4 linked regions of the Caenorhabditis elegans genome follow. The protein of the gene in region 4 interacts with the protein of the main gene of each other region in a pairwise test. Each region holds a gene or a part of one and is shown on either strand. Other genes may lie near its edges. The genes, in order: tbx-39, ceh-27, lgg-2 and ZK121.2.

What was found.
Region 1: the proteins of ZK121.2 (region 4) and tbx-39 interact in a two-hybrid assay, tested with the Caenorhabditis elegans proteins (one large-scale study listed by BioGRID).
Region 2: the proteins of ZK121.2 (region 4) and ceh-27 interact in a two-hybrid assay, tested with the Caenorhabditis elegans proteins (one large-scale study listed by BioGRID).
Region 3: the proteins of ZK121.2 (region 4) and lgg-2 interact in a two-hybrid assay, tested with the Caenorhabditis elegans proteins (one large-scale study listed by BioGRID).

The regions. Positions count from the first base shown.
Region 1 is NC_003282.8:15,321,935-15,326,035, reverse strand, and holds tbx-39 (Putative T-box protein 39), read right to left. Parts: upstream 2,144-4,101; coding exon 1,947-2,143; intron 1,895-1,946; coding exon 1,708-1,894; intron 1,654-1,707; coding exon 847-1,653; downstream 1-846. Other genes in the region: Y73F8A.15 (DUF38 domain-containing protein), read right to left, coding at 3,856-4,058.
Region 2 is NC_003283.11:11,660,920-11,666,981, forward strand, and holds ceh-27 (Homeobox domain-containing protein), read right to left. Parts: upstream 4,184-6,062; 5' UTR 4,148-4,183; exon of another isoform or gene 4,015-4,147; intron 3,780-4,014; 5' UTR 3,779-3,779; coding exon 3,621-3,778; intron 3,317-3,620; coding exon 3,249-3,316; intron 1,813-3,248; coding exon 1,616-1,812; intron 1,546-1,615; coding exon 1,288-1,545; intron 968-1,287; coding exon 857-967; 3' UTR 630-856; downstream 1-629.
Region 3 is NC_003282.8:10,933,304-10,937,788, forward strand, and holds lgg-2 (Protein lgg-2), read right to left. Parts: upstream 2,601-4,485; 5' UTR 2,559-2,600; coding exon 2,453-2,558; intron 1,835-2,452; coding exon 1,666-1,834; intron 1,615-1,665; coding exon 1,461-1,614; 3' UTR 893-1,460; downstream 1-892. Other genes in the region: lsm-7 (U6 snRNA-associated Sm-like protein LSm7), read left to right, coding at 224-229, 284-377, 505-613, 702-807; Protein adenylyltransferase fic-1, read left to right, coding at 4,169-4,247, 4,292-4,429. UniProt on the Caenorhabditis elegans protein: Ubiquitin-like modifier involved in the formation of autophagosomal vacuoles (autophagosomes). When lipidated mediates tethering between adjacent membranes and stimulates membrane fusion. Less effective at promoting membrane fusion than lgg-1.
Region 4 is NC_003281.10:5,339,913-5,345,078, forward strand, and holds ZK121.2 (R3H domain-containing protein), read left to right. Parts: upstream 1-1,769; 5' UTR 1,770-1,777; coding exon 1,778-1,981; intron 1,982-2,364; coding exon 2,365-2,696; intron 2,697-2,740; coding exon 2,741-2,881; intron 2,882-2,999; coding exon 3,000-3,408; intron 3,409-3,685; coding exon 3,686-4,204; intron 4,205-4,262; coding exon 4,263-4,334; 3' UTR 4,335-4,347; downstream 4,348-5,166.

The sequences.
Region 1 (4,101 bases), on a different chromosome or scaffold from region 4:
AATAATATTCTCCACAAAAAAAATAATTTAGCAGCAAAAAAAGTTTATATTTTTCATTGTTCAAAAAATAAACTTTGAAAGTGAGGGAATTTAATGTTCAAGTACCAAAAAATAAATAAATCAACGACAGGAAAAGTCGTCTGCTTTACATAGTTGGTATATTTCCTGTTTTTTTTTGTAAAGTTACGTATCTGCGGCCCACAATATAATCGAAAAATTTGAAAAATTTCAAATTTTAATATCCGAAATTCGGAATAATTTGACACGCAAAAATGATGTGCTTATGTTTCTATTCCACACTTGATTCATCAAAATTGAAACATTAAAATAAAAAAAAAAGCAAACTTTTTTGCTAAGCAGCTCCATAATAGGCTTTCCATCCGGGCGAGGTGTGTCGGGGGCGCCCTTCGCCCGCCTCTTTCCCGCGCCCCCCTCACGCCCGCCCTGACACCCGGTATGCAATTTGTCGTCGCGGTGTTTGCAGAAATGAAACAAATTGGACGCGCATTTAGAAAACTTTGCCATCACGTTATAATATTAAATTGTAATTTTGGCAATTATTTTTATTCAATAGTGGATTAATAGTGCAATGTTTAATTTTGAAAATGAATAATGTATGAATTTCTGAGCCCTTTTATCATAACGGTAAAGCAAGATTAGTGTTAAAAGTTTATTAAAAGAAAATTGATTTACAAATTATTGCGACTAGAAACAGAAAATTAGGTGAGAAATAATTTACAGAATTAAACAAAATGAGCTAAAGTCAATATGGACAGAGAAGTCAAAACAATCACAGGAAAATTTGAAAAAAATAGGAAACAAGGGTTAGTAATGAAGAAGTGACAATTAATTGCTAGAATAATATGGATAGTGGATAGGATTTCCATTTTCATCGAAATATGAATTTTCAGCAGAAAATGATGACTGGAAAGAGGAATCAGAATAAATAGAGTTATTCATGGAATAGTTGAGATGTGGAAACTGTTGGCTGGATTGAAAATATGGATAATAATAGGGATAGGAACCATATGGATATTGATTTGGAAATTGAGAGACTGGGTAATCTGGAGCATTCTGATGAATATTTTCCTTTTGATTGATCGCAAATTGTGGTACACTTGAAAGATACTGAACATTTTTTGCAACCCTATTTTGTTTAGTTTTCGGATCGAATTGATTGTGGATTTCATCAAATAGAGCTGTGAATTGCTGAACATAAATTGGTGGAGTATTGACTGTTGGATACGCATGTGGATATTGATTTTGATAGGAAGTTGATGGGAACTGGTGAATAGAGGAACTGATCTCATTTTGAAGCCTTCCAGAATTCGTGGACTCATTATAATTTTCTGATTGTGAGGCAACTTGAAGGATATCCGAAACAGCAATTTCTGTTTCATTTTTTGATCGTTTTGATGTTCGCTCTTCACTCGAATCAGTATTCTTTCTCTTGTTTCCCCCATCCAATCTATTTCCATATGTTGAGTTCTTGTGAAATTTAGATTTCCAATTTCCGATCGATTCTTGATTGTATACTGTGACTGGGAAAAATTGGGCTACTTCCATTCTCATAGAATGATTTGCAGATTCAACATTCGTGATATTTTTGACAGTGAGGACTGGAACATACTTGTGCATTGTTTCCACGAAAAACTGAAATAAAAATTAATTATAATATTATTTAGTGAATTAAAAATTCAAACTAACCACATTATCCTTGTCCATGAATTTTTTGTGATTCGTAATCCTGACTGTATCAAATTTAATAGTTTCCTTCATCAATTCCTTTCCAAGTTTTGTTCCATCTGGATGTAAGAAATATTTGATTTCTTGTTCTTTTTTCGTTGCATGACGGACTTTTGAAGGTCCCCATTTTCCATTTCGGTATCCATATCTGAAATTAAGATTTGTCTTTAATGGTGACTTTGAAAATCATTAAAAAATACCTGATATTGTCATATTTTTCAATTGAAAGAAGTACAACATATCTCGATTTCTCTTCCAATCCAGTAATATTGAAGTTGAGTTCGGGAAAAATTAGTTTCGGCCCTTTATTATTCACAATCATTTCCATATTTGGATACCATTGTTTCCATCGGTCTTCTTCAGCCATTGTAACATTGAATTGAGCTTGTGAAAACATTATTGAATCTGAATATTGAAAAAAAATCAACATATATTAATAGGAAGTATGAAAGAAAAAAAACGGTATACTAAACAAAATATTATAATGAATGATCCTCTCTATCCCTTTAATGTTTTAGACCCCACTTAGTGGGCGGAGCCTGAGCACTGGGTTGAGTCAACCAATTATCGATTGATTGTATTCACTTGCTCTCTTAGAATTGCTCAACAAAAACTGTTTGAAACTGGAAATCGTACTTTATATAGTGATGTCCTTTTAATCACTATATTGAAACAGTAACTTTTTGAGTGCTGCCGCATTTGATAAAAACGCCCGAGTTACTAATTTAAAATAAAAATACTAAAACCCGATCCAAAGCAAATTATTTAAGGATATCCACATTTAGACTTTTATTTTGTAGTGTCAATTTTCTGCGTGCTTCTCTATTCCAGATTACCTTTTCACATATTAATATTTCATGTCAAAGTTGTCTATTCCAAAACATTACGTTACAGTTCCACTGGTGACCTATATTCTTCCCAATTGTCATTCACATAATGACAATAGGTGCAAGGTATCCCCCACCTTAACATCCACCACTTTACAACTCTACTTCCTTCTCCTTGACATATCATTCCTTTTCGATCGATTTCCGGACACACACCTGACAATCCAAATGGTTGTAAACTTTATGTACTGGGAAAATATATTTAGTCTTTTGATAGATAATAAGCAGAAAAGTGAGAAAGTGTATACTTTTACAAAATTGAAAATATAGAAAATGATAGGTTTACATTTCATTGCAAACGTTATTTTAATAACAAAATTTCAGACAGAAAAGGATTTATTTGAAAAGTTTCTATTTTGGATGAAAATTCTACTCCGCTCTGCAAAACACTATGTCAGTATTAGTAAATATGTATTAGACATCACATTCTTAAAGAGAGAATTAATAAGCTGTAATTAAAAAAAAAATAAAAATTGCTGTTTCAACATTGTGATACATTTGCTGCATTAATGAGAGTAAGACAATTTGTTTGGTGGCCTTATTGATGTTAGTGAAATATGCCACATTTATTCTCGAAAATATGAATTAATTAATTAAAATCCCAACAGAAGTTACTTTTTTCTTGAATATTTTTCTATCGGTAAGAATATAGCTTCGGTTTACAATTTACTGAGATATATATGTACATAACTAAACTATTGAGCTGACAAATTCAAAAATATCCAAAAACAATCAAGGAATACAGGTTGAACGGATCATTGAGCATATTATGCATGTTGACATTAAAATTAAAATTGTAATACAAAAGTATTTACGGAGTGTTTTAAATTACTATAGTGAAACACGCAATATGTAGATAAACAATTTTGATAAAGTTAAAGACAGAATTTTTTTGAGTAGCCATTCTATTTAATTCCATGTGCATATAATTGTATTTTTTTCCGAAAAATTAACTAATGCTGAAATTAAAATTATGTTTCAATGTCCTGATAACTTTGTCACCATGTTTTGCAATTATTATGTTTTTCTCCCAACAATATTTTCTGATTGGAACTGGAATCAAAAAATCATTTTTAAAATTCATATTAATATCAACAACAAGTTATGCGTTTAGATTTACCAACGTTTAGAAACAGTAAAAATTATCAGAACTTTACAAAAATTCTTTTCGAGCAACTTCTTTATTCTAATCAAGTACTACTTCATTCATCACAATGGAATATTAATTGATAACAATTCCAGATTTAAGTCTCCATTTTCCTTCTTCTCCTTCACGCAATAGATAGAAATCAGCAATATTGGTTCTTGGCCCAACTACATGTGAAACATTGAACTTGATTTCATTTTTTCCTTGAGTAAAAATCGATGATTTGAGGATCAATGGCTCGGGATTCGGCTTGGTAAGGTAGCTTTCCACGAATAGAGCTGAAAAAATTAAACAATCATTAGAGTATTTAGTAGTTGAACA
Region 2 (6,062 bases), on a different chromosome or scaffold from region 4:
TGTATAATTTTACAAGAAAAATAAAAAAGCGATTTCATTTTGGAATATGTACAATATTGGAAAAAAGTATACATTTTAAAAGTCAGTTTTAAAAAAAGTTTGCCTTTTAAGAACTGCAAATTGGAAAAATTGGAAAAACATGGAATAAATTATGAAATAGAATGTTATCGATTATTTTTCCAATTGCAAATTAAATTATTTCAACTGTAATGCTAATTTTGCTTCAAAAGTAATTTACTAAAAATCGTTTCTATATGATCTCAAGCAGTTATCACGAGAAGTACACAGCTTGTGCAACAATGTGAACACCACCTAAAAACATCTGAAAACATGTTTTCTGAAAATCTTCCTAATTTTTGGTGGATGATTCATCGCGTCACTATTGCTGTCTGACATCTTCATTTCCTTCTTTTCCTTCTTCCTTTTTTTGGATGTCGACGTCTTGTTCAAGTACCTCCATTCAGTTTTCTACAAAACAATATACTACGCATTTTCTTTTCTATACAACATGCGTGCGCCTCTTCATGTTCATCACCATTCATCCCAATGAATAGGAAGAGAATGGCACGTCGTCTGTCATTATGATTACGGTAAAAGCGACATCTATTTCTGAAATCAATGAAACAAAGTTTTAAATTTAAAATTATTTTTATTGTGCAAGATTATATAATATCAAAAATATAGCAACAACGCATATAAATACATACCAGTTTAGTGTTGGGATTTTTCAATTTTTGGAATAAAAAAATGAGAAGCTCATTGAGGATTGGGGAAGGAAAGAGAACAGAAGAGTCACGAGATTTTTAGATTGAAATTGAGAAAATTAAAAAAAAAATTGAGCATAGTTGAATGTCAGCTAAAGGTTATGAAATGCTGATGTCGATAAATTGTATGTAGACGGAGGATAGTTTGCAGGAGGTGCTTGGTATGCGAAGAACGGAGGCATATATGAACTCGAAGGGTACATCTGGAAAAAAAACATAGTTGAACATTGTCATCTAACGATAGCCATATAAAAAACAACTGCACAGTTCATAAGCCTGTGATTCAAAAGTGGAAAATGACAGCTGCAGTCAGAAGTGGGTCCTTCAAAAATCATTTGTGCATCTGCATCTGTTTCCAGGTGATGAGACCACATCATAACGGAACAAATTGAATTAGAATAGAGAGATAGTCACAAGTGTGTGATCCGATTCCCTATGTTAATCCTATTGGATTACCGTCACAAAATCTTATTTGTAACACGATTTTGTGATTTGAAAGTCTCAACAAATCTAAAATACGAACCTGATATGGGAATGCTTGTTGTGAGATATCCGGAAGACAAGCTGTATCAGATGAAACTGCTGATGGCATGAATGGTTTCCGATCTTCATCTTCTTCCTTCTTGATTCCAGACATCGAACTTCCAAGTGATCCACTACTATCATTGTCTCTGTCTGAATCAGTGTCCCTGTCACTATCCCGATAGCATCCACCATCCATTTTCTTCTCTTTTTCTTGTCTCTTGCACTTGTAGCGTTGATTTTGGAACCAGATTTTCACCTGAATACGGCAAATGTGAGAAACTAACAAGAAACATCGCAAATGATTAGCTTAAATTAAAAGTTCAAACCTGTGTTGCCGACAAGTTAATACTCTTCGCAAGGTTTTCCCGATCCGCGGCGCTCAAATATCTGTTGATTTGGAATTTGCGTTCCAGGACGTGAACTTGTTGAGGTGAGAAGAGAACACGTCGCTTTCTTCGTGATATCATCATATTCTGCTGTGTCGTAAGTCCCAAATTCAGCTGATTGGTTTGGAAGCGATTAACTGCAATAAATAGTGATTGTTTTATGCCTACTAAATACAATAGGATCATGGCAATAAGATCCGCGATAATTTGCCCTTCAACGGAAGTCTCAGGAAATCGACAATTTCCGTAGTCCCTTATAAAAACAATAAGAAAAATACACATGCGTGCACGTGTCAATGTATGCTAACACTTGTCTTAACTACGATACAAAAATGGCACCACAGCAAACTCTTCTACAAATATGGTCCGTTTACCAGACAATTGAGTATTCGAGAGAGACTCCCCGTGGCGTACTAAACAAATTGCTGAGAATTGGCAGACAAGCTGCCAGCAACTGAATCTAGGTTGTCCTGTACATTTAAAGATAAAAATTCAGATCAAATTGGAAGTTTTGAAAAAGTTTTCAGCAGTGAACTTGGTTTAAAGCTAAAAACTGATACGGTATCAACTACTGTATTTTTTTTGTCAGAATTGTACTTAATTGCTCCGCTTTGACAACTTAAATCTCGTTTTTAAAGCTATAAAAAATAACTAAGTACGAAACTATATATGAAAAATGACATTTACTGTAAGTTGATAATTTTGTGATAAAACAAAAAACCACCCAGATATGAGATGTCAAAGCTGTTCAATAGAATGACAATGTAAATTATTTTAAGTAGAGATATAATAGAAAATAAATTTTTGGCATTCTAAAATACTTATCAGAAAATATGATATCTGATTTGGACCCTTACTGCAATTTTTCAATTCGGAGTTCACATTTTTTGCAGATTTCCTTTTTATGATTTCCGCCATTGACCTTCCAACAATTAAAAGTTCCACCAACTAGTTTTGTCACATGTTCACGTCTACAGTACCACGACCTTCATGCCTTTAAGTTTTGGAAGCAATTCTCTCACGGTTTCAAGTAGGTGTTGTAGATTACTGATGTTACGTCACTTCCGACGCAACTTCATTGAACCCCTACTATCACCTCTCAATATGGTGTTAGTTGTTTGTTGTCCAACAAAGGAAAATAAGGGACAGACGTAGTTAGTTGAGTTGGCAAACTTGTTCATTTCCAATGTTGTGGCAACCAAGGGGAGGTACTGTAGGACGAGTTTCGTTGGAAAGACAAACATTTAGCACCACCGGCAGAAAGGGATTATATGTTTTGCAGGAAGAAGCGAAAAAAGATCTAAGAGAAAGGAAAAAGCTAGTGTGGGAACCTTTTTTACTCATAGACCAGACCTACTGTAGCTCGGGTATATGTCAATTATATCGCGCACGCTTGTTTTATATATGTATGTGTTATATAATAATCTAAATAATAAACCAAAGAATCTAGACATAAAATAATTGTTGCGAAAAATGCGAAGCGCGCAACTCAATTGAATTGACCGGACTGTAATTATTTGCGAACGGGAAAGTGAGAAAAGTCGAGAAGATGAATTTGAAGAAAAAAACTCACAATTGGCCAGTTGAGGATGCGTTGCCATTGGGTAAGGAGCGGTGGCGTAGGCCGCACTTGTGTTGTAGCTGAAGAAATATTCAGGTTTGCTAAAATTATTCGTGAATTAACTAATTAATTGGATTTTTTTGAACTTTTTTGTATTCAGGAGCGGTGGCGTAGGCCGCACTTGTGTTGTAGCTGAAGAAATATTCAGGTTTGCTAAAATTATTCGTGAATTAACTAATTAATTGGATTTTTTTGAACTTTTTTGTATTCTAAATCGAAATAAATTATATTTGCTAGAAACCATTGATGTTGAATAATTCCACATCTGGGGGACATATAATCCATCATCATACATCCAGAATTTACCTCAAATTAAAAGCATACCTTGAGAAATCATGTGGATATTGATTAGGGAAGGCAAAATAAGACATTTGTGCTGCAGTTGTAGCCGGTGCTGAGATGGAGAGAGTTGAGAAAGCATCAGTAGTTGGTGTGACAGAATTAGGGGCTGATGTGGAGGAATTGGATGATCCAGAAGACATTCTACAAATTAATTGTAGTTAAAGGCGAGAAACTGGGATTCTAAAGTTAATGTCATATTAGAATACAAAGAAAATAAAAGGAATGAATAGAAGACTCACCATGACTTTTCAAGTTAGAGTTTGAGGTAATATGGTATAGGTTTCTAGATTCTATCATTATTTTTTGGAAACAGAGAATTGAAACTGCTGCTCCAGTGCCTCGATTGGGGCGCTAAATGTGAAGGATGGGGTGTGAAGGGGAGGATGGAAGTGGCGTCCGTCCCGAAAACTACTCAAAACTCACTTAAGTTAAAAACTTGAAAAGTCATGGAGAGGACGGCCAAAGTGGCCCTTCAAGTAAACCGAGAGAATCTCTTAGAGCTCATTTACCTCTTATATGAGTGCTTGTGGAGGATCGTTCACCGTGTGCGTGTCTCCCGTGCGCCTTCAGTCCAGCCTCTCGCCCTGCTTGTCCCACCCGATAGACACGCCCACCAACCTCATTGGATGCCATGGGCGGAGACTGGGGCAAACAGAATCGAGGTATCGGAGGGGAAGAGGTATGGAAACCGAAAAAAAAGAGAAGAAATACTTGAAACCTAATTGCCCATTTTAATCAAGTGCTACCAGCTGAAAATTATAAATGAAATTGAGAATGCGTAGGAGAAGCCTAATTTCTTTACTTGAAAATCTCGAGTTCTAGACTCCCAAATAAACTCAGCTAGCAAGAAAAAAACTTCAAGTCATGTGATTTCTCCACAAGTACCTAAGTTGGCAAATTATTCAGTTATCCTAATTCTGACTAGTGTTGGAGAGTGTTGTTCTTTTTGGTAAATTATGTTGCCAACAGAATAACAGACTAAAAAAAGACCAAAGGGGCAGCGAAATAACTTGAATAGAAACCGTAAGGACAAACAGCTCAATCCTTCGCAAAATTCAATTTCTTTTCAGATAAAACTGCACCATAAGGTGAGACCATCGGCGTCGTCATTTAATTGTATGTTTGTGATAATATCTTAAATTTAAGGTTGTATATGTCTATGTCTCATTGAAAATTGTATGAGTTTTTTCTACTTCATTATTTTTTTTGGAGATATTGAGATATACTAACGTCGTATTGAATGTTGTATGCCATATTGAAACCTAATTCTGAAAAAAATCAATAAAAAAATTTTATAATAGACTGATAATTTCTCAATGGCGAGGAACTGTGTCATATTGCTGTAAATACACTGAAGATGCAGTTTACATTTTAAGTTTCCAAATAATGTTTATTGAGGGAATGGAAAAATGAACGCCTAAAACATTGAGATTTGCAAAAAGTTTCTTAACACGGGCATATATATTTTTACTGGACTTCAGTCATTCCGAAGTGTGGAATTTGAAAATTTTCCTCCCGTTTCTACTGTTTTGATATACCTAGTTTTTTTTATAAAAAGAGAAAAAACCTTTGTTCACGTAACAGCTTTTTTAAAATGTACTTTGATACTTTGCCTTATCAACTGTTTAGTTGTAAAATTAATATATTTTCAGTAAGATTCTTTCAATCGGTAAATAGTTGTTTTCTTTTTACTACCTTGCACTTTGCCTTCCTACATCCAGTTTGAACTTTTACACTTGGGAGAGAGTTCAAAACTCTCAATCATTAGTGGACAATCCAAATGTTAATGAGTTTAACGACCTTCTTTTTTTACCATGAGAAAAAAAAAGTTTGCTAAGTCAACGAAGTTGATCACACTGATAACAGTGAGCCAACAATCAATAGAGCGTGAGAGTATTAGTGTTACTTTCTCATTTTTCACCGAACCAACTTTCCATTAAAAACTCTCGTTTAATCAGATGTAGTTCTCTATTAAAATTAACTTAAAATAGTTCAAGTTTAAACTAGTGAGAGAGATTCGTTTTGATTCAAAGTTTTTATTTTCCAAATTCAATTACAGGCTACAAACAAATTTTCTTGATGTTCATAAAAATGAGTGTTAATATATTTTCACTTTTGTTTTGCTTTGTAATTACAATGAGTTGCAAAAGGCTTTAACGCAAAGTGGGAAAATCTAGATGATATAATTGAGAAATGATTTTGAATCAAGCGAAATCTGACATCAGAATATAAAAAACTTAGTGTACTGAAATAAATTAAATAGAAAAAGTACCCTGCTAAATCCACTTCAAGATGATTGAAAACAAGAGACTCGAGAATTTATGAACACTATGTGCCACATCAGGAAAACCAAAAAAAAAGTGTTGAGTTTTCCATAACGTTTCCACGGTTTTCGTCGCCCGTTCATATTTCACAAATCCTTTT
Region 3 (4,485 bases), on a different chromosome or scaffold from region 4:
TTGTTGAGCTAATATTTTTCGAATTTATTTTTTCTTTTCTTTATTTTATTTTCTTCTCTATATACGTTTGTAATTTTAAATCATAATTTATCAATTAAAAATACCGTTTAAAAAAATTCTAAATCAATAAGATTTTGTCAGCTTAATTTATTTCATTCGTAATCGATAATTTCATTCAAAATTTCGGAATTATTTCAGACTCACCACAACTCAACACAGAGAAATGTCGGTATGTTTTAAAAATACAATGAATAAGTTATTTATAATTGTTGTATTATTTTAGAAAGACGAAGGAAAACGAAAGAAGGAGTCTGTCGTTGATCTCACCAGATTTCTCGACAAAGAGATTCGCGTCAAGTTCCAAGGAGGACGTGAAGGTTGGTTTTTTTTTTGCACAATGATGTGCACTAGCAATAAGATTCCGTCATTAAACTATTTAAACAATATGAAAGCGTCCAACATACACAAGCTGTACTTCACTCCATAAAAATGTATAAATTTCAGCAAGTGGCGTGCTTCGAGGATTCGATCAGTTGCTCAATATGGTTCTTGATGACTGCCGCGAGTATCTCCGTGATCCACAAAATCCTTCGGTCGTCGGTGATGAGACAAGGTAATTGATAGATTTCCAAAAATCGATTTAAAGCTTGGATTTCAAATTAAATCTAGATTTTCGATTTTATCTTATCTTTTATCTTAAGACAACTGGGTCTTATTGTGGCTCGCGGAACAGCAATTACAGTAGTTAGCCCAGCAGATGGACTCGAGCAAATCGCCAATCCATTCGCAACCCAGGAAGAAGAATAATCGTTGATATCATCATCATCTCTTATTATTATTATATATGTATGTGATCTCCTTGTGAATGAACATTCTCCAGATAAAAACGACGAAAAAGTTGTTATTACATACAAAACATTTGATACATTGAATTTGGAAAAGTAACGATGGAACAAGATGTAATAATTTTGAATTGAATCCGTCTAGGCAGTCAGAAAGTCCATAGCGGTAAATTTCAATGTTCAGGGCAGTAAGGAAAATAGTCCCTATGGGCTTTAGAGACTAGCCAAGTACACAGAATCGTAAACGGTTTAAATTTTGTTGAAAGAGGATCAGTTGTGAAAAGAAGACATGAAGAAATTCAAGAAACGGGCTGGAAAATGCGGAGAAAGAGTTATGAGGGAACACATAAAGACTACACGAAAACGTAAGCGAATTTGGGTTTCTTTTTTTTCGTTTGTAAAACAAATTTCAGCTGGAAGTTTTGAGGTGGGGAATTGCGAGGGGCGAAATTAGCAAAGGCAACTAGAAAAATGGTTGGCGCCTGAGTATGATGGGTTTTCAGGTATTTACATTTAAAAATACAACATTTTACAGTGAGGATTGCATTGGGCAATCAGTGGTGTTGGTGGAAATTTAAAAATTGATTAGAATTGTGATGGAAAACGGCTCTTGATGTGTTATCCAAATGCTGGTTGAGACGTGTAAACCATATACACAAAGCCATCTGGATCACGCTCTTGACTGTACAAATTGGACATGCTCATAGAATTTGACACCATTGAGCGTTCATTGACGAGCAGGAAGAATGCTTGTTGTGGATGAAGTTGGAGGCTGAAAAGCAAACGGATGATTTTGAAAAAACAACTCAGTTGAATAGCTCACCGTCGTCTAACAATTGACATGAGCTCGGCAACGGTTATATGCTCGGGTACTAGGAATTTGCAGCGATCCATAAGTGGTAAACTGCGTTCTCCATCAAATCTTTCGATAATTACCGGAACCTTGTTCGGTTGTTGGCTGCGGATTTCTTCCACATCTTTCTGACGCTCATCTGAAATCGAATAGGTTAAAAAGGTTTTCTTTCGAAAATTTGAAAATAAAAAAGTTGTTCCTCAGTTCTGGATTTCTCTTTTCCACTCGTAAAATTCATATTTCTATTTAAAGATTGGCGTACGTTCAGTTTTGGTTGTTATCTTGAATGGTGGGCAATATTTTGAACTCTAGAATATCAATATTGATCCAAATTTTCCTATAATCCTATTTCCCTTGCACCTGCCCTATTGATCTTTGTTTCTCAGGTCCATCTATCTCTTTCTTTCATACAACGAAGAGCACCCAATTAATACGCAATGTTCCATGGGTGCTGCTCCACTGACATAGTCACTCATTCACACAAGATCAGCTGATTTTCACATGTCTCACTTGCATATTGTCTCTTGTTTCCTCATGCTCTCTCGCTGAAACGCATGACGCGGGGTGTCTGTCCTCTGCGTCTCTGACCTTTTACAATGGACGGGTGAAGGAAAAAAAAGTGGGAATGATTGGGAATGAATTGGTTGGGATGAAAACCAGATGTTTGATGTTAAAGTAAAATTAAAGTGAGACTTGAAGCTCTATTTTTATTTTGATGACAATTGTTTGATTAGTAAATGAATTTTAAAAAACTTACGGAATGGCCTTCTTTCCTTGAACGATGGAACGATTCCGGAAATGTAAGATCCTCCCCGATTTCCGCTCATCGCTGTTTGTGTGTAACTTTGAAGCGTGGCTAGCATAAACGCTTCTTCACTTTTTCGTGCTGAGACCCGATTTTCGATCTGCAAACTTGAAAAATGGTAACTGGTATTTGAAAAGTTGAGAAAACTGATTTTAGAAGAGAAATTAGAGTGTGAGATGCTAAAGGACACTGTATGTTTTTGTGAGAATTTTTTTATCAAGAAGCGAAAAGACAGGTGAAAGGGAATGGGACAGAGGGAAAAATCGAGACAGAGGCAGTAGGCAGCACACACGCTCTTTTGCTGTATGTCTCTTTGTCCTCTGTGTCTCTTCATTGATGCTACTCTCTTTTCTCACACCACAAGATCGACTGAGCGTCGAGGACACATGACCGCGAGACGGAGAGACGATGAGAAGAGAAGAATCATGTGATGAAGGAATAGATGGGGAAAAGAAAGAATAGAGTTAGAGAAGATGAGAGTGTGTATTATGACCCTTCTCCCAGCTAATACAGAAGTTCGAAGCAGTGTCAGACAGATGAAATGATAGCGAAATTTGAAACGATGAGTGGCAACGAATTAAATAAATATGACAGCGAGACTTGTTGGCGACACTAAGAAAGTTATAGGAGAAAACGTTTTAATTGAATACTTCCTAGAAAACTTCTCAACTAATGTTCTAGTGTGAAAATGCTTGGTTTTATGAATGAAAATTTCTAATATTAAAATGGGCCGTTTAAATTAACGGAAAACTAAAGATTTTATCTATACCAGCCAACTCTTTTATATCGGTCTACGTAAAAAAAGTGCTTGTACTTTGAAAATAGTGGCAGGGAGAGATAAAGGGCAGGGGAACCAGATGATCTCTAGAACTTCCAGTCTGAATCTACTACTCCCAATCAGAACAACTGACGTTTTTTTCTGCAAACTTTTTTCTCGGAACTTTAGATCTTTGACGCGATTTTCGAAAAAGGGAGAAGTGATGAAATATGATCAAGATTTCACAGCAAAAATTGGCAATCTGCGATATTTTTTTGACATTTTAAGGGTTTCCTTAGATTTTCCGTTGTTGAAAATGCGGGTATCTAAATAATTTCGAAAGAAGTTTTGAGATGAGGACGAAACTATGGAAAGAGCAAAACAATAAGTGATGAGGGGAAAGAAAGAAAAGTGAAAAATCGATGTACGAGTAAACAGACTCTCATGACTAGTGAACTCAATTATGTTTACGTCTCAAAATCGATATGTTACTGCGCACGCCGTGTGCATTTGTCTGCGTCTCGTTTATTTTCTTTTCTTTAATAGCATTTTCCGCGTACGAACTTCAAAGATGAAGAAATTTCTTGTGAAATCGAGTGGAATGTCGATATTTATATGGTTAATATTTAGATAAAAGATTATTCAGTTTTTTAAATTAGGTTTTTCGGATATAACTTGAAAAAAAAGAAGGAAAACATGCCAAAATCGAAAAAAAATGCATTTGGTGTTCAAACCATTAATCAGTACTACCGTAACTCAAAGGCGCATTAACGTTTTTTTACTCTGGTCTCGAAGCGAAAGGTGGAATCATGCTCAAAATTAATTTGCAGATCTTTTTTCTTGTTTTCGCTTCAAATGCATGAATAAGTTCTGGAAAATTTGTTTTTTTGCAGATAGTTTTAAATAATGTGATGTCAGTTCGAAGACGAACTCATTCCGATGATTTCTCCTATCTTTTGGAAAAAACCCGAAGACCTTCCAAATTAAATGGTACATTTTTGATTATTTTCCAAATAAAAACATATAATTTTCAGTAGTTCAAGAAGATCCGAAATCGGCCCCACCACAAGGTTATTCACTAACCACAGTCATCATTATCTCAGTTTTAGTATCACTAATCTGCCAACATTTTGTACCATATGCAGTCTCTACGCTGCACACTGTAATAAAAAGTGAGTCGCAAAAATAAATATTAATATTTTCGCTTATTTCTTGAAATAAAAAATCA
Region 4 (5,166 bases):
ATTTATTCATGTTCTGATAGTGAGAAATGAAAATTTCGAGTTAGTTTATACTTTTAGTATAGAGTTTACAACATAGCCAAATGGAGAAAACATATATTTGAACTTTGCAAAAAAATATTATTTATCTAACCAAAAGTAAACTACCGTATTTCTTCTATTAATATGGCTGCAATACTATTTTTCGATGGTCTTCCCGCTTGCAATACTAATAGGGAGTGCAAGACTATTAGGGAGTGCAATACTAATTTTCAGAACATTTTTCTGACTTTGAGCTTACTATTTTTTTCTGAAAAAAACTCGTATCTTATGTAAAAATTCAGAAAATTTGATTGCAATTGCAACAAAAAGGTACAATAACTTCAATTCCATAGAAATTTTACCAAAAATTTGTTGCAAAGTAGGCAAAAAATGTTGTAAAAATCTCAAAATTCAAAGGTGCAATACTAATAGGGAGTGCAAGTCTAATAGGGAGGCCATATTAATAGAAGAAATACGGTATTCTGAATTCCGCTCGTTAGTATCTTTTTATTGAAAGTTTTCAAAAGAGATTTATAATTTTCAAATAAAAATTCTAAGAATTTTACAATTCTTTCAAGTTATCAAGTTTTTGGATGTAGAACTACGTTTGCACTATATTTTCCAGAGATTCATACCGAAAAAGTTCTAAAAGTCAATTTCCGTTAGGAAACCTCACCTCAATTTCCTCCCACCCATTATTATTCAAGATGAGCACTCCCACCCGTGAGCCACCACAAAAACACATTATTTGGCAGTTTCTAATCCCCTACAAATCCCCCTTGAAAATGATTTTGATCTGATTTTGAGCTTTTCGCAGAAATAATTGGAAATGTTTGAGAAAATGGATGGAAACTGCATATTATCAGTGATATTTAGTTGTTAATTCATGCTTATTTAGTTGCCTGTTTCATAGAAAATTGGTGATAAAGTTGTCATACGGTAGGAAGTAGGACATGATTGGAAAAACTAGATTACTGTAATTCGAAGAGTCATTTTAAATTTAATTTTTTGAACTCTATAAGCTACTAATTTTGCCTAGGTTCAACAAATTTTGGGTCCCACCGCGAAGACTGGAGTTCAGTTTGAAATGTTAATTTTCATGTTTCAATGCACTTTTAAGCTATAATAAACGAGAGATTCCGTTACAAGACCCACAGTTGTAAAATTGACGTTATGTAACTTACAATTAGACGAGAAGATACATAAAAGTGGAAATACCGAATTTTTTTTTGAATTACTCGCAATAGAATTTTTATTTTTATTGCAAGAATACGCAAGAAACACCCGCAAATTGAATTATAACGGGCTTTAACTTCCTCCCTTCTTGCTTCCTCCACGTTTTCTTTGAACCTCTGCTTCACCTCAGATTTCTTTGTTTACATTTATTTGGTATCTCTTATCTCTGCATAGATAAAAGCTTGGAAATTCTTTTAATTTTTAAATACCTTCTTCTTTTTCTTATTCGAACTATTATACCTTTTCAAAAAATAGGCCTATTATGTATTTATATTCATTTTTATGTTTTTTATTGCGAAATTTCGTCTCGTTTTTTGGTTCTCAAAAGGCGGGGCTTAGCATTGAATGGGGGAGAAGGACATTCGTGGGCGGAGACTCTAAAGCAGCTGAAGCTTACCCACTGCTCCATTTTCATGCAAACTCTGCTCTTTTTTGGTAGTACTACTTCTTGAATCCTATTTTTTTAAATTCTCATCCTCTGCTTTTTCTGTGCTTCCAACAAAAACCAAATTTTCAGGTGTAAATGTCAACCGAAAACGACGTTTCAGAAGAGAATAATTCAGAGCTTGACGATGTTGAAGACGCAAAACAAGATGATCGGCGACGATCGACTACGGTAATAATGACAATGAATGTGACGACGGTGCCAGCTACAGAAAGTGAGGGAGTTCGGAGGAATGGAAGTGTTCGAAGACGACTTTCAAAACAGAATGCAACAATTGAAGAGGTGAGCAATTTCAAGGGAAGGTGGGAAATTGTCCCGCGAAGTGTCGGACTTCGAATATGGGTGCCGTTGCTGATGTAGTTCTTGTCCCGTATGGTGTATGCTGCTAAGGTACACAACTTCTTGAAGCCGGCTAAAAGTTATCACTAACCCGTAAAATGTCGGCTGCTTGGAGAATACATTATTTTATTATCATATTGATCAGCTCACTCTCTTGTGAATCATCAGAGGATGATCCGATTTTGTGTCATAGGCCGCGCTGAAAACTGAAATAGTTCCTGTTAGGAAGTCTGCTGAAATTCATATTTTTCACCCAATTTCGAAGAATGTTTGTAAGTTTATAGACAAAATCTGGTCGTTTTCGACTGAAATTTTTTAATTTTTAGCCAATATCTCTCCTGTCAATTTCTGATAGCCCATCAGAAAACTCGGATACTACGGTCCCATGCATAGAAGAGCATCCAGAAGAAGGCAAAGAAGAGGAGAAGCCAGCAGAAAGCAGTGACGTGTCAAAACTCCGCCCACCGGGTCTCGCACAGAATAAACTGTGGTCCACATCGAAATCGTTAAGCAGAGAGTCCACAGGAACCGAGTACTCGGACAGAAGTGGCATTGATCTAAGGAATTTTGTGGATCGCACGTTACACAAGAGTGAAGAAGATCGGAAGCAGCTTCTGGAGTTCGAAAAACAACTCAAAGAACTTATTTTAGATGATAGGTTCGTTTTTGTTAAAATTTCAGTCTGAAATTGATAATTTTCAGCACACAATCGAAAAGATTCGAGCTTCCATCATCCTATCACCGAATGCTTCTTCACAGGTGTGCCGCGTGGTTTGGTCTTGATCATAATGTTACGAATAAGCAGACCGATATTGTTGTGAACAAGTCAGAGAAAACCAAAATGTGAGTTGATTAATTTTCGGATGTATGTATCATGAAAATCATAATATTTTGTCTGTTTTAGTTTAGCCCCTTTATTTGGTCTTGTCAGATTTTAACTAGAAAAGTAACAAATTTCCAGTCCTGATGACAACTTCACCGACTACATCCGGCACGATAATTACGTAGAAGACCGACTGAAACGACAAAACACTTGCGGATCCCGCAAGGAACTTCACCATATGGAATCATTCGGTGATCATTCGACGAGTCAATATGGAAGTCAAGCAAGTCTTAATCATGATCTACTCATGATGCGAAGGGCACAATCATTTGACGTGGCAGCAGTCACTGGACCATCAGTTATTCAACCTCAATCTCCACATCATGTTCGAGGTCTTCCGATGCGACAACTTTCACTCAACTGCCCACAACAATCAATGGTTACTGCACCAATGAGTGGACCACAGGGACATCAATGGGCACCGCAAAGATCATTTGATTGCTCCAATAATAGTTATTTGTGCACTGGAAAACATCCAATGATGAGGGTGAGTATCAGAGTTCGCCTGAAAAATCGATTTTTCAAAAAAGAAACAGCGTCGAGTTTTACTTTCTCACGATCGCTAAGCTACAAGATTTTGAATCAATATATGATTGAGATTGAACGTGTGGCCGTCAATATCTGTGAGCTTCAGCCATGTCGATTTACGAGTATCTCTCATACATTTCATAAGTTTCCATAAGTTTCCGAGTTTCGAAAAATTTAAGATCACATGCCGTGGGCGCAAAAAACGCTTCTCAAACTCTAACCTCTAAATTTTCCAGAAAGCAGAGAGCTTCGGAGGAATGGCAAACGGAATATCACATGGCTGTTACGAGCAAAGTGTGCCAGTAGTTTGTGGAACACCTCCATCAGTGATGGTTCATCACCACCACCACCACGCTCACATCCAACAACCTCCAACCTCCAACTATACAGGCTATCAGGTATTCGAAGAAATGTCAATGCCATCATCAAACTACCAAGAGCCTGGAATGTGCTCCCCGGGAGGAACCTACTATGAGTATGTACCTCAACCAGTAGTTCAACCACAACAGTACGCTCGTCCAATTCGGTACATGCCACAAGATTACCGAAGACCTCAAGGAGTTCAGTATATGTATGGACCACCACCACCACAACAATATATGCAATACCAGCCAATGGTTCATCCGGAAGTTGAAGTTATTGTAGATCCAGTTCAAACTCAACCCTTTCCACAAGTCAGTCACTTTGTACTGCCTGATCAACAACAGGGATACTCATCAAGCCATCAAGCAGAGACAGCAAATAGTTTTATAAAGGTAAGGTTGAAGATGAGGAAATGAATTGATGGTTGTTGAAAATAGAACAACGATTTAGGCAAGCATTGATGGTGGATATGGAAGCATGAATCAAGACGTCGAGAATGCTGAAAAGGTCGAGGAGGTCTAAACCTTTCCCCCCCCCCCCCCCCCCCCCTCCCGTTGTCTCTTTAAATGGTATTTCTTCTTTCTAGCCATCCCCTTGTAGATTGTGATAAAACCCCACGAAAAGACGATATCGCCAAACATCTGGATAATTACGATTATATGAACATGATTCGAAGTACGGATTTTCAATTTTTTCTAGTCAACTTGTAGATTTCTTTCTCTCTCTCAATCCTTGTCATCTTTTTTTTTCTTTCGCTCTTTTGATATCGAATAAATTGATTTTCAATGCCGCTAAATAACCGCTAAACTCAATCATAAGACTTTGACATGCATTTTTAAAGGAGCAAGCATTTATTCAGAAGTGTCTTGGCACGAGAAAAGGTTCATGGTAAATAGCCATTGTTTAAATTTTTCGGCTGCCTCCAAGTTTACTTTCCTTAATTCCTTGCATTCTTCATTGAAATTACCTCGTCTTTAGAAAATTTTATGTTTTGTTTTCATTTTTCCGTTTAAAATGCTTTATTACGGGAACAAACAATTCTGAGAATGCATATTGCGCAACACATTTGACGCGCAAAATATCTCTTAGCAAATTCTACAGTAATTCTTTAAATGACTACTGTAGCGCTTTCGCCGATTTACGGGCTCGATTTTTGAAATTAATTGAAATAATTTAATTATCGATAAATAAAATATTTTAATTCAATTCGAAAATCGAGGCCGTAAATCGACACAAGCGTTACAGTAGTCATTCAAAGATATTTTGCGCGTCAACTATGTTGTTCAATACGCATTCTCAGGATTATTTGGTTCCGTAATATATCAGTTTCCCATTATTTTAGCCTTCAAATGCA